Linked DNA regions of Tamandua tetradactyla. The protein of the gene in region 2 interacts with the protein of the main gene of each other region in a pairwise test. Links are inferred from orthologs where the notes say so. Each region holds a gene or a part of one and is shown on either strand. Other genes may lie near its edges.

Region 1 (7,816 bases), on a different chromosome or scaffold from region 2:
TCTACCTCTTCTTAGCAATCATTCCCTGCCCCACCCCCACCCCCATAATTATTTAGGAGTGGCTCTCCCCTGTCTCACTGAGATGGAGTCAGGAGCTGCTGAATCATATAAATTGTTTCCAAATGACTTCGATTTGTTTTCTCTCATTCTTACTCCACACCTTTGTTCAGGTCTACATTATTATTGGCTTTGTAATAGCCTAATAACTAATCTCCTTGTCTTTCCCCATTCCCATTCATCCACATGTTATCCCAGACTAATCTTTTTAAACATTTTTATTGTCATCCTCCTTCCCAAAAATGTGCACTAGCTCTTCCCATTGCCTACAGAAGAAACTCCACATTCCTTAATATAATGTTGGAAAGAGCTTAGGCTTTGGAGTACGAAAGCTTGGGTTGCATTCCCAATCTGTCATTTACTTCTGACCTTGAATAAACTCACTAAATATTGATTCTCTGATCTATAAAATGGTAATGCTAACTAGTTACAAACAGTAAATTCATGTAAAAGTGCTCTGTATTTTTAAAGTGTTATAATGAATGTAACTTTTTCTCTCTTGCTAAAATTTAGAGATAGTTACTACACTGAAAAAAAATAGCCTCAGCTTTGGACTTGAAAAACAAAACAAACAAAACAACCAGATCTCATATTCCAGTTCCATCACTTATTATGTGTGAAACTTTGAACAAATTAGTCAACTTCTCTGAAATTGTTTCTCCACCATCAAAACATCTGTTTTGTAGAGGTATAGGAGAAATGAAATGAAATTTTGACTATGGACATTTCTAGCACAGTTTGTCATTCATAATAGCACTGATTTATTTTTTGTCCTAATTTACCTTTTCAGCATCTGATACCACTATAACGGTTCACGATCTATAAACAGAGCCACTCTAAGCAATACTTTTGTGTTTTTTCTTCAGCTGTATGCCCTTTTCTTCTATATCAAATTCTACTCCATTTTGAAGTCTCAGTTAAAATGTTGAGTCCTGCATATAGCCTTATGTAACTCACACTGTGTCAATCACCATTTCCTCTGCAAATCTTTAGCTTTTTTCTTTATAGCATTTAGTTTCAAGCTGGTTTATAGTCTGCTTTCCCTGAAAACAAGTAGAGTGTTGTGTTTATCTTATTTCTCCCTTACCATAGTTAGGATAGTAGAACTCAGTTATCGAATGAATATAGGAATCAGAGGCTGCCTATCTTCTTCCCATTGCCTAAAGGACATCCCTCCCTTAAATGCCTATTGTTGCTTCAAACCCAAACACGTACAAAAGGAGGCATGTTGTCTCCTCTAAACTGCTTCCTTTCAACTTGGCCGTTTTTGTCAGTGACACTACCCTAATCCTTAATTCCAGTCTCTGAGGCTAAAACTTTATAATTTTGTTTGACTAATCTGTTTCTTTCACTAAGGAAGAACCAAATTTGCAGGTTCTTCCATCTTTTTCTGTGAACTGGTTTTTTGTTTCACTCTATTATTCCTATGACTAATAATTATCAGTGTAATGATTATTTTTAACAACCACCATCATTTATTGAGCATTTAAGTTCTCAGTTACTTTGTATACATTATGTCATTTGATCTTTGAAACAACCCTGTGAAGCAGGTATTCTTATTCTTATTTTATAGGTGAGAAAAATCAAGACACAGACTAAATACTCTGCCCAAGGTTACATAGCTGGTTAAATGGTAGCTTAAATACAAATCTAAGGCTAAAGTCCTTGAATAAGTTGGTCTCTTTCAAGTTGCAGAAAACAAAACAGTGTTTAAGAAGGGTATTAAATTATAAAGACACACAGGAAATAAAGAAGCAAAGGAAACTGTTTCATAGAGGCCTACTGATTCTTTCAAAAGTGCATACATCAATACTCTAGCATTCCACTATTTTGTTGGGATATATGACAGAGGCATTTGCTCCCCTATACTTGAGAAGACAGCTTTTGTTCTAGCTTCTGTTGCCCTTGTTACAACTGATTTAGCTTCTCACTCCTCTCCCTCTATTTCTGGTTTCTATTGCCTCACGATTTCTGCTGCCTTTTATCTTTGGCTTTCACACTTCTAATAAACAAAAATAATGCTTTGCTTCAATTAGGGCCATCTCCTCACTGTTGCCAGAATAATTTGTCTCCACAACTTCGAATTGTTACTTTAAACACAAATACTTTTTTCCTTTCTCTCTACCTATCGAAAATTTACATTTCAAGGCTCCTTCAATACTTCTTCCCAAATGTTTCAATGCATACTTGAGTGACTACTATGAGAAAAGTCCCCTTGCTGACCCTTCATGAACCCACAGCATGAGGAATAAATAAATCTGTTGGGATGTGGGAGCTATTCCAAACTCATTCTTTATGGCTAGTGTTACCTCGATACCAAAACCAGAGAAAGACCAATATATTTTATGATATATATGCAAAAATCCTCAACAAAACACTAGCAAACTGAATCCAGTAATATATAAAGAAAATTATATTCTTTGACTAAGTGAGATTTATCCCAGGGATACAAGGTTGGTTTTACACTTGAAAATCATTTTAATGTAATACATTATATCAACAAAATAAAAAGCAAAAATCACAGTCATCTGAAGAGATGCATAAAAAGCAAGTTATTTAGCCCCTCGGAGTTACTTTCTTTATCTGTAAAACTGGAATTTAAACAGTCCCTATCAAGTAAGATTGCTGTGAGAATTAAATGAGATAATATGGGTACAAGTATTTAGCACAGTGCTAAGCACAAAAGAAGTATGTTATGCTTCAAATTACAAATATTACGGATCTACCATTGTCACTAATTTTAGCTGAAGACCTGGGCATCTAAGAAATAACACATTTTAAGATAACTATTTAAATCATCATAAAAAAATAATGCATTATGCTATCATGTTTCTGTTCATATCATGAATTTGGTGATACCATAAAAAAAATGTCCCATTTATGTGCACTATCTCTTAAACTCTTAAAGCTTATTAAGGAGATGTTATCCTTGTTCTCAAAAGCCTATAAATATCCCTATAAGTAAATACTTAAATATGGAATCCAGAGCAGCATATTTCCTGACATACCACATTGCTATTTATATTTAATAAAATTTTCTCTCAGCATATTATATAGGGTTTCTTCCTGGTTGAAACTGCCCCTTAACCGAGACCTGATAAAAGTGACAGTAAACCCTAACATTTATATAATGCTTATTACATATAGCATATATAATATATGCTATAATATATAAAGTAAAAAGTATTTCCACATACAGTCATACTTGACTGGAATCCTGTGAATTATATATCTCATTTTTTCTTGAAGAATATGAGGCCAAGAAAGTGACCTACCTAAAGTAACAAAAAGGCCGAGACGAACCTAGATTTCTTCTCTACATATTCCACGTTCATTATGGCTGTAGTAACAAACTACTACTGAAATAACAACTTAAAATGCATGCTCTATTGATCTACATAACATACGTCTCTAAGTCTACACAGCATAAGTGTTATATGAAAAGGCACTATTTTCTTTTTTAGGAGAGACAAAATATGGGCCAGTGACAATGATATCTCTGGGGACTGATAAAATTAATAAGTCCATGGTTTGTAAGATTAATATAAGGCCAAATTTAGATGACATAACTCTTTAAACGAATAGCAAACTAAATTACAAAAACCGTTTCGGGAAAACGTTACCTCTGAGCCAACATTTTCACATTCCTACTTTGAATTTTAAAATATTGTTAAATCAAAAAAATTTTGTTTTGACTAAACTTACTAGAACTGAAAAACAAGTGTTCACACTTAAAAAATGAAGGAACAGGCAAGTGTCCAGGAAAAAATGCTAAACGAAGAAATGATAAACGTAAGATCCCTTAGAGGTGCCACATCTAGAGTTTTCAGACAGAAACAAAACGTTTTTAAAAATATTCCAAATAACCAGCCGCCGCGCAGTATATATAAAACAACGTATTTGATGCACTAAATCGCCAAAACTGATTTAAATAGTACCTCATTTACATTATAGAAATTGCAATATTCCACTATTTATAATGTAGTCTCTTCGTTCAAATGACAGTACAATAAATTTGGTTTCTAAAAATAACACATTTTTTGTGAAGAACTCGACACCTGTAGAGATAAGCAAATATCAGAGTTGCTTAAGATACTCTTAACATACATTTTTTTCCCTCCAGAAGCCAGCGTGCAATACATTATGAAAAACGGCTATGTTGGAACGATGACTCGTACGCTAAGCATTTCCACTACAGTGGGTCTGACTTCTAGTTTCCAGTTTAGCCTCAAGTTGTGACTAGCCAAGCCTCCTCTCTGAATATCTCCTTTCCCATAAAACGAGAAAGTGGGTGGAAGACCATACAGCGCTTTGATTCGACTAACAACTATCAGACATTTTCAAAAGCTTTCCCTCGCACGGTGCAGGTACATGATGTTCAATCTATCCCACCTCCTCATACCGAGCCCAGGCCCCGTTCCTTTCCCCTTCAAGCTCAAACACGTCTCCTTAAAGAAAAGTAGAGAGTTCTTTTAACGAAATCTACAGCTCCTTTGTTCCCAAAGACGGCTGCGGCAGCGTTTCGAGGCCGCAGAAGGTTGAGAGAAGGCAGAGGCGAAGAGACTGAGTTTCCTCTCGCCCACCCACTCCAATTCCTGTCCAGTGCCCAACCCCGAAGAAAGCGCGTGCGCAGGTTCCCCGGTACCGCGATACGCGCGCGCCTGCCCAGCAGCGGACCCCACGAAGGGGCAGGATGCCCGGGCGCGTGCAAGGCCCGCAAGAAGCGGAAGCTGCTGGCAGCGAGAACAGGCGGTTCCCGCCGGCGCTGGTGGGGGAAGGGCGGCAGCTACACCCGGAAGTCGGTATGGGAGAGAGGGGGAAGCTGGTGTGGGCAGAGGCTTCCGGTGGTGCAAAGGGTGTCGGGAGCGGCTCCCAGCAAGCCTTCCTTGGCGTCTAGAGGGGCCGCCGTCGCTGCAGCTTGGGCTTCCAAGATCTTCGTTCGGGCTAAACGGTCACGGCGGCCGCCACTGAGATCCCCCCGTTCCTGACTTTGTCCGTATTCTTGTCGAGGCAGCCGCCTCAATTTCAGCAGCGGCCTCGGCCGACATGTTGTGAAAGCGGCGCCGGTATCTGAAGGATGGTTTGGCAGAGGCGGCAGCAACGGCTGCTGGCGGCGGCGGGGGCTCAGGCTCTGTAGAGCCGAGCCCGCTGGGTGTCCGCCCTGTACCGCGGCGAGGCCAGTGCCCCTGGATCTTGCCTCTACTCCGGCGCCGTTGGCGGCCGGCTGGTTAAGCGACAGCGCTCGCCCCTCCGAGGAGACACGGAGGTGGTTCCCCAGCCGTTCAAATTTCCGGACCACGCCGAGCTTTCCTTTCCCCGGCCCGGGCAGTGCTGCCTGCAGAATCTTCAGCCCCCCGACTTTCCTCCCAACCTCGCCCTAAATCTCACATACTCTGGTGTTCCCAACCCTCTCAAGCCAGCTCCTCTCCTTCCCTTCCTGCTTTTTGAACCCTGTTCTCCAAGCGCCCCTCGGGGTTACTCTCCAGGGCGGCCTTTTGAGAAATTCCGTGAAGTAGTGTACCGGAGCCGGGGAGTTGTTTTTAAAGTCGGGGCGCGAGAAATAGGAAGGTACGATGGCTTCTTCATCTGGCAATGATGATGATCTCACTATACCTCGAGCTGCTATCAATAAGATGATCAAAGAGACTCTTCCCAGTGTCCGGGTGGCCAACGATGCCCGGGAGCTGGTGGTGAACTGCTGCACTGAATTCATTCACCTTATATCTTCTGAAGCCAATGAGATTTGCAACAAATCGGAAAAGAAGACCATTTCACCAGAGCATGTCATACAAGGTAAGTCGCATGTGTGAGATTTGATTTAAATGAGGGTGGGGGTGGGGCGTGCAGTCTGCTAGTTGCATGGCCGGTTCGTGTCAAAGCCTTCCAGTCCTCTTCACCGGTAAATGAAAAAGCCACCGGGATATGAAAGCAGCTTGTGCCTTATGAAAATCTTGTTGTCTTGCGGTACTTTTCATCCAGCGAATACACGTAAAGATTGCAAGCAATTAGGCCATTTTAAAAGCCCCAAAAGATAAAGTATTAATAGTGGTCTGAATTTACAACCAGATAAGCTGAAGCAGCAAGAACTGCCTGCCCAAAGTTGAACGTAGGAAAATAACCCAGTAATTTTACCTTGGAAAGTTAAAATTCAGCCAGAGGAACTTAAAACATGAGTTAAAAACAGAGCTCATCTTTCACCCTTGTAGAGGGAGAGATTGATATTCTGAACACATAAATTTAAAAAATTATTAACACGAATATGTTCAATATTGTAAAGCTTATTGGTGTTGAAAAAAGGAAGGACTTATGTTTTCAACTTTAAAAATTGTTTGATGGTCCTACATTCATTGTTACCAAAGTACTTCTTACCAAAGTAAGAAAAGTGAGTGCTTTTTAATTTTTCTTTTTGTGTATATGTTTGTTTTTATGTAGCTTGCTTTGTTCACTGGAGATAGGTTTGAATGTAACGAAAAGCTTGTTTTGAAAGGTTATAAGAGATTTTTTTCGTGAAACATTTCACCGTCATTTCCTGCTGCCATTCCCTTTTAGATGTATAGGCTTACACTTTCATTGAACAGCATTTGTGAAAGTTTTGGGTTTCTTCTCTTTTATCTTGGAAGGCATCTAGTCCAGTAATAGGAATTTAGGGGAGCATATTTTGATGGTTTTGGACATCAGGAGGCATAATGTCGTAATGTTTTGGCAGGCACTTTCTGTAATGTTTACATCGTACTTCTATGCACAAAGTTGTTTTCAATTTAAGGTAATAACTTGCCCTTTGTAATAATTTAATTTAAATTCTGACAATCTCTTGCTTGCTTTTGAAGTTGGGGGGAAAAAGCCATGATTAATTTTAATCATTTTGTTAGGCAGATAGTTACCTACCATTTCATTTTTATAACTTAATTTCTTTTAATTAGAAAAGTTGTAGGTTTATAGAAAACTCATGCATAAAATACAATTCCCATATACTACCTTATTGTTAGCATCTTGTATAACTTAACTTTAAAAGGCAACTTTTCTGCTATACTAAAGTAGAGTACACATCTGCACATGTTCACCATTTACATTATTTTACCATCAATATTGATAAAAAGGATTAAATGATTCATTTTTTATCGTTAATGGTGTATTGAAGGTTGATTTGAAATATATCCTGCAATTCAAGTCCATACAGAAAAAAATCCCTAGGAAGAAGCATATTTGATTCTTTTTTTTTTTTTCGTATTTGATTCTTAAAGCTAATAGTTTTAGGTTTTTTCCTACTGTTTTGGTGTGCTGAATAGTCTAGCAAGTAAAAATGAAAGCCAAATTATCTATATTTTTACATTTTATGTGTGATGCTTCCATACAGTCTTTCACAAGGTTTATCTAACACAACCATAATTTCCTTTTGCAGTTCATAAAAAAGAAAAAGGATACTTTATCAACATTGCCTTTCTAATGAAAATTGAAAACGATTTCAGCAGAATCTGCCTAAATATTTGTTTACACTACAGAAGTGGGGATCATTCCAAAAATCTAACACACATTATAATCTTTCTTAGGGAGTTTATTCTATTCTAGGATATATTTAGATTTCTGATTGACACATTGGAATAAAAAGGCAGCTGTAGCAAACTGTATGCTAAATAGTTCAATTTTGAAATATGCTAAATTCAGTTTAATGCATGAGTTGGAAAATTACAGTGAAAAAGCATTTTCCTTTTTGTACTGAAATTAATTTGTTAATTAAAAAAATGAAGTATTGACCTGTTTT
Region 2 (6,846 bases):
TACAAAGACGAGGTAGTGCACAAGGAGTTCTGAGTCTGTTAGGCAGTTCACTCAATTATCATCCTAAAAAGATTTGGAATTTTTTTGCTGGAGGAGGGAATGGAGAAGAGAGGGAGAGAGAATGCTGTCCTATTGCCTTATTGCTTGAAAACTCCTAATTTGAATTTATATTTCTACTAATCACTAGACCTGACCATCAAAAGTACAGTCTCTTTTCATCTGAGAGAGAGCTTTCCAGTTCAATCTGTAAAAACAAACTTTGTCCTTCAATATTTCAACTCCTCAGCAGTTTTTCAAGGTCACTTTTGTGAGCAACGACAGAGGCCTGCATCTACCAACTTTGACTGCTACACCATTTCAGTTCCAAAAGCTCAAAATATAAACCCCTATTGATCTTCTCAGGTAAATCTCTAATTCAAGGGGAAGCAAGAGGAAGGGAAATCAACATCCTCCAAACTTCTCTAATAGGGCCTGCTCCTTTTCCCTACCCAGACACTGAGTGCTGCTGGCTTACTGCTCCACAGTCTGCTGCAGAAATGTTCCAATGACCTTCATTCCATATTTGCAAATAAAAAGAAAACAAAAGACTGCTTTTATTTATCAAATGTTGTATAGATCTTAAAACACGGGATGGAAGACTCCACTATTCCCAAGAACTGTCTGGTAATTGATAAGCAACCCACTTAACTTCATATCCCAAAAGAGGAAAAAAAAAAATCACCAAGGGCAATATGTAGGGTACCCGTACTCTTAACTTTCTTATTCACAAACTGCAGGTAAATTAGAATTTTAAATATGTCATACAGAAAACGAAAAGCATTTTGTTCACAACATTTTAAAGACCCAAATCAGCAGCTGACAAAATGTTGAAATTGGTGGAAAAAGATTTACTCTGGTCACTGCCAATATAGTCAACCAGTATGTTTCTGTCCAGCATTCTAAGCTTTTATGTGCATTTTAAAACGAAAGGTTGTCACCAAATTAATTACTACTTATTAAAATCTGGAAGCAGGGAGGTAAATCAAAAAAGTTATGGGAGAATTTCACACTGGCATCTGGGCCTTCACCATTAGAACCTGCATCAGCGCAAATCATATTTTTACACAAATTCAGAACAGCAAAGGTATTGCTTCCACCCCTGAAAACACAGATGTCAGCAAAGTGCAAGGAAATAGAAAAACTCTCACAACAGCTTAGCTTATTCTGTAGGAAAGCTTCAGTGCACTTGAACAAAGGAAAATTATTTGGAAAACAGTTAAGTTTACCTAATGCAAAGAAAAAGTGCTCTGCTTCTGTGTGCCCCTGAAAAATGAGAAGCCTTTCTTCATGTACCTGATCTTGTTGGTACTCACTAGGAAAAGAAATTCTAGTTGAAGGGCATGCAAAAATCTAAACAGAGCAAGGTACTGTAGGTGCACCAAAAGGTATGCATGGAATGTAAAGTGGCCATTTTCTGAAACAGTGCAACTTGTCTACACTCTCTGAAGCTAAACAGTTTCTATCATTTCAACACAAAACAAAAAATTAAACTTACCGGGAACTGCATTAATTTTACATGTAGTTATTTATATCTCCTCGGACAGGGAGAATTTAAGTCACTCCTATCCCAACCCCCCCCCCCCCCCCCAAAAAAGGACGGAGGAAACAAAAGGCAGCAGGAGATGCAGAAACCTGAGTCTGGAATGTCCACTCCAGTGAAAAACCGAACAGCTGTCCCTCCACCCCCCAACAAACTATTCGCCATTTTTCTTTGTCTTTCAGCTGACCCCTGCCTCAGTGAAAAACTCCGAGGCTCCAATGAAGCCCTGCAGCCTCCTTCCACTTTAACAGTCAAAGGCATTCAATCTAGCATGCTATTTGACACCAAACCTCGCCTCCATAGTGTCCCCATTGGCTGACCTGCTTTATTGGCTAAAAACACAAAGCCATGATTGGCTGTTCACGTCATCAGTTACCTCCTTTGTACACTTCCTGTTTTAAAGTTACCTTGAGAAGCAGAACAGGGGTCAGATTCAGACTTCAAACTACCAGGAACGTGAGGCTTGGAAAAGCCAGGCAAATGCACATAGTAGATGCACTAGGGCCTCACATGTTTTCAAAACAGAGGATACTGCAAATTTAGAATTGTTCTTAAAATCACATGTAAAGGTCGTTACAGTTCCCACCCAAGAGGTTTCTTATTGGTTGTTAGAGTTCCATTTAAAAAAAATTTAAGGTAATTTAACTGTTTCTGATTGGCCATCAAAGATGTCTATAAGATACTGCTACAGTAAACTATAGCAGTGAACCAGAGAAACAATGTGCACAAGGTTGGAAAGTTGTAACTTAACTATCTTCAGTTATCTGCTGAGCATTAACAGAAGAAAAAGAAAACTGGGTAGTGCTAATCTAATGACTCAAGAAAATGCAGCTTCTTTAAAATAACAAAGAGTGATAACCCATTGCTACATAATACTCTGCAGGACTTCTAAAAAGGCATCTGCTATTATGTCTATGTTAATTTTTAAAACACTGATTAGGTTAATACCAAGGCAAAGCACTTTATTTTGAAACACAAACTAATCTAAACAGTAAATCTCTGGGGGTAATGTATGAAGTTAGTAACAGGAATAATGGTATTTATAAAATGTCAACCAAGAACCCAGTGAGAGAAACACATGGGAAAAAATTGGCAAAGAAAATATACCATCAGCAAATACATTGTTAAATTAGTACATTATAGTCACAATATGAACCACAAAAGGCTGGTCACGAAATGCTGCTGATTAGCTCTTAACATGATAAGAGTTTTTATATTATAGAGAATAAAACTTTTTCTATCACATTTTTATGAATATGCAGCAGGGCTGATCTCAGGAGGCATATTCTTATTTGACCCACTGTGGTTACTGAAGACATTCAGAGTGCTGCACAAAGATTTGCTTGTGGAATTCAAGCCCAACAGGTTAGGTTTTAAGCAGAATCTCTTCCTCTGGTGAAAATAAATGTATATATCTCTTTTTTTTTTTTTTTACAAATATTCAAATGAAAACATCTCACCATAAAAACATCTCGCCACAACCTGAGGCCTTTAACAATCTCCTCAAATCTGCACCTAATAGGTAGATTAAGATCTTTTCTAGACATTCCTTGGATGACCTTAAATAAGAGGTCATTCTGGACATATGCAGAGATCCAGCAGGGCCCTGAAATAGGACGAAGGTTTAACTTCTCCAAACATAATTCACTCATTTCCTACAATGAGATTAAATAATTTCTGAACTAAGTGCCAGGTATCATTATTCCTCCAATCCTCACTTGCAATTCCCTCAAACGTGTCAAAGAGTGAGGGTCAAAGGAGTTAACAATTGGCCCCTAGCCATATATAAAGAATGCAAATTCAGTTCCCACCTAGGATGGTTCTCTTTCCCCTGTATCACACTGCTTTCCAAAACATGGTAAGCACATCCAAGGAAATTCTTAGGTGTATCATATTATACAGTTTGCATAAAACCATTACCCAACTTCATTCATTTAAAAATTAGAAACTCGACTACTGTTGAGTTTGATCTGTTAGTAAGAGACCTAGCTAAATATCTAACCAAAATAGCACCTCATAAATTGATATAAATTTTATTACTAATTAAGAACATTTAAACCAGTTAACAAATTAACATTTATAATTTACAGGGATTTGAGACTGCTACCAAATAAAATATTAAAAGCAATATACATTGAAATACTAAGGGATTCTGTGACAATTTCACTATGGCATCTAAATAAGAGTTTGAACATGTTAAAGGGAGGGGATATATGTGCCTGAGGTTACCGAGAATTACAGATATTGTAGTTCTTTTCTCAAATGTTTAGACGACAAATTCTGCATAGCTATCTACCTCGAAACAGAAGGCAGAAAGCCAATAAGCCCAGAAGAATAGGGAGAACATGTTCACATCACTGGATTAGTAATTAGTAGCAGTATGGCAAAGCAACTAAGCACTTGGGAATCAGGTAGAGCTAGGTTGGCTCCTGCAATTAACTGTATGACCTGACTGACCCTGAGCCTCAGTTTCCTCATCTGTAAAATATGGATATCACCACCTGTATCACAAAGCCACTATAAGGAATAAATGAACTAAAGTTTATAAAGCACAATGTTCTGAGCCTACGTAAGTATCAAATAAACACAAAATTCTTAAAGTCATCCACTTCAACTTCTTGAAGTTTTACAGAGGGGTTAAGGCTCAGAGAGGGGCAAAACCTGCTCAAGACCCTGAAGCCACTCTAAGAGAAAGTCTCTTCTATCTTTAACATATTCTGCAGCCAGACAGCAACTCCACAGCCATAAAAGGCCTGTGGGAGGACTATCAGCTGCTACTAAAAAATCACCCCCAGTTTCTATGATGGATAGCCATGCTTTTCACACCAATCCCAGCTGAGGTCTGGTTATTACTCCAGAAGTCTGCCCTTCAACTTCACTTTTGATGTACCAGATTAAACCAATCTTGTCCCTTCATACTTTGTGAAGGTCTTCAGCATAGTTTTTATAGTTCTTGGCTGTTTGCAGGAAAAACACTTCAACGCCTATATCTTATCAACAGTCACCTTACATTCAAGTTACAAGTGGAAAGGAAGAGAACTCAAATTATCCTTGAATTTCCATATGGCCGCCAGACCAATTCACTTATTATAGCTTTCTCTTCTCTAGCTTGTCACTACTATGGACTATGTGGGATCTCTGAGATTTCAACTCACATTACTCTCTGGTCCTGAATCTCAACAGCCCTTTATACCAGACAACTGCATCTTCTCATCCTAAAAAACACCAAGATCACAAAATCCATGACTCTGGTTGTGTGGTTCAAGTTTCAGTGCTCTCAAAGAAGGCAGGGTGAGAAACAATGCTCTTCATTAGAAGACCAACTCTGAATCATAGCTACCTTCTCACTAGCTGTATGTCTTGGTCAAGTTACTTAACCATCTCTGAGCTTGTTTCTTTATGCGTAAAATGAAAAAAAATAAGTAACACCAACTCACAGGAGTCTGGGGTTTAACTGACATAAGTGAAAATACTGAGCATAACTGGCATGTGGTAGGTATTCAATTAGTATTTAAATATGCACTTGCTATAGCACATATAATTAATTTTTATTGGCATAATCTTTATGGCAAAAAATTTGCTATTTTAACCATTTTAAGTGTTGCCATTTAAAAAGTTCAGGGGTATTAATTACATTCACAATGTTGTGTTATCATCATCACCTTAAATTATCAAAACAGTAGCTCTGTGCCTGTTAAATAACTCTCCATTTCACCATAACCCCTTCCCCTAGCCCCTGGTAACCTCTAATCTCCTTTGTCTCTATGAATTACTTATTTTAGATATTTTATTATAAGTGAATGAAACAAGATTTAGCTTTTTGTGTCTGGCTTATTTCACTTTTAGCATATATGATTACTTTTTAACATGTCTACTACTAAGAAGGGTTTCTTGAAAGCAACAATTGTGTCTTATTTATCTCCATATCTCCAGTGCTCAGCACAAACAAATGACACCTTATCTCAGCATCAATGTTAAGGAAATAACAGGGAATAGTCTGGACTGAGGAAAGCTGGAGAGTGCATGTGCAATCTAAAGCGGCAGTCACTACTCAGCTTCAATCGACAATGGCCATGTAATAATGCTCGCCCACAGCAGTAAGAGTTTCAGATTCTTCAAAAGAAGCAAAAGCTAGATTCTCAAAATATGAAATCTTTCCATTCTAACCTTTGGTACAATTTTTTAAAATAATTATAAGCAGATGAGAGAAAAGTGAGGGCTAAGAGATTGCAATTTTTGACCCATATATTTCACCTAACTTGGTACTGAACAACTATTTAGCTGAAGAGCTATTTCCCAAATTGAATCCATCTTCAAGTTTAAAAGTTGAGGAGGTAGCCAACTCAATGGGAGAAAATATGTGGAAACCACATAACACAAAAAGGATTGATACCCTGTGTACATAAAGAAATTATACAACTCAACAAAACAACAACAAAAACAATTATAAAATGGGCAGAGGACATGAACAGACACTTTTCAGAAGAGCAAATACAAATGGCTAAATAGCACGTGAAGAGATACTTATTTTCATTAGCTATAAGGAAAATGCTAAACCAAGACGACAATGAAATATCGCCTCACATCTGTTAAGAATGGCTGTTTTAGACAAATAGAAAACTACAAATGTTGGAGAGGATGTGGAGAAATTGGAACACTTATTCACTGTTGGTGGGAATATATAATGGTGCAGCTGCTGTGGAAAACAGTCTGGCAATTCCTCAGAAAACTAAACAATGAGTTGCCCTATAACCCAGCAAAACCAATACTCAGCATATACCCAGAAGATTTGAAAGCAGTGACACCAACAGATGTTTTTTTTTTTGGCATGGGCAGGCACCAGGAATCGAACCCTATACTAATATACATTTTGCACACCGATATTCATAGTGGTTCTATCCACAATTGCCAAAAGATGGAAACAATGTAAGTGCCTATCAACAGACAAGTGGATAAACAAAATGTGATATATACATACGATGAAATATTATGCAGCAGTAAGACAAAATGAGGTTTCAAAGCATATGAAAATGTGGACGAAACTTGAGGACATAATGGTGAGTGAAATAAATCAGACATAAAAGGACAGATACTGTATAATTTCCCTACTATGACTCCGGTAAAGGTAATCCCAGAAGTTAATGCTGTAGAATATAGCAAACCTAGAATTATACAGAAGTTAGAGACGCAGGGAAGGTTACTCAATGAGGTTGAACTTAAATACAAGGGAACAGATAGAAGTGACAGTAGCTAATTAGTGTGTTATA

The links. The genes of interacting proteins can lie anywhere in the genome.
Region 1: the proteins of NFYC (region 2) and DR1 interact in binary tests that used the Homo sapiens proteins (3 or more experiments, as listed by UniProt). The link is inferred for Tamandua tetradactyla from reciprocal best matches to the Homo sapiens genes NFYC and DR1.

The regions. Positions count from the first base shown.
Region 1 is NC_135337.1:30,527,762-30,535,577, reverse strand, and holds the start of DR1 (protein Dr1), read left to right. Parts: upstream 1-4,816; 5' UTR 4,817-5,630; coding exon 5,631-5,850; intron 5,851-7,816. UniProt on the Homo sapiens protein: The association of the DR1/DRAP1 heterodimer with TBP results in a functional repression of both activated and basal transcription of class II genes.
Region 2 is NC_135328.1:184,322,412-184,329,257, forward strand, and holds the start of NFYC (nuclear transcription factor Y subunit gamma), read right to left. Parts: upstream 3,011-6,846; 5' UTR 1,841-3,010; coding exon 1,672-1,840; intron 1,619-1,671; exon of another isoform or gene 1,535-1,618; intron 1,515-1,534; exon of another isoform or gene 1,266-1,514; intron 1-1,265. UniProt on the Homo sapiens protein: Component of the sequence-specific heterotrimeric transcription factor (NF-Y) which specifically recognizes a 5'-CCAAT-3' box motif found in the promoters of its target genes.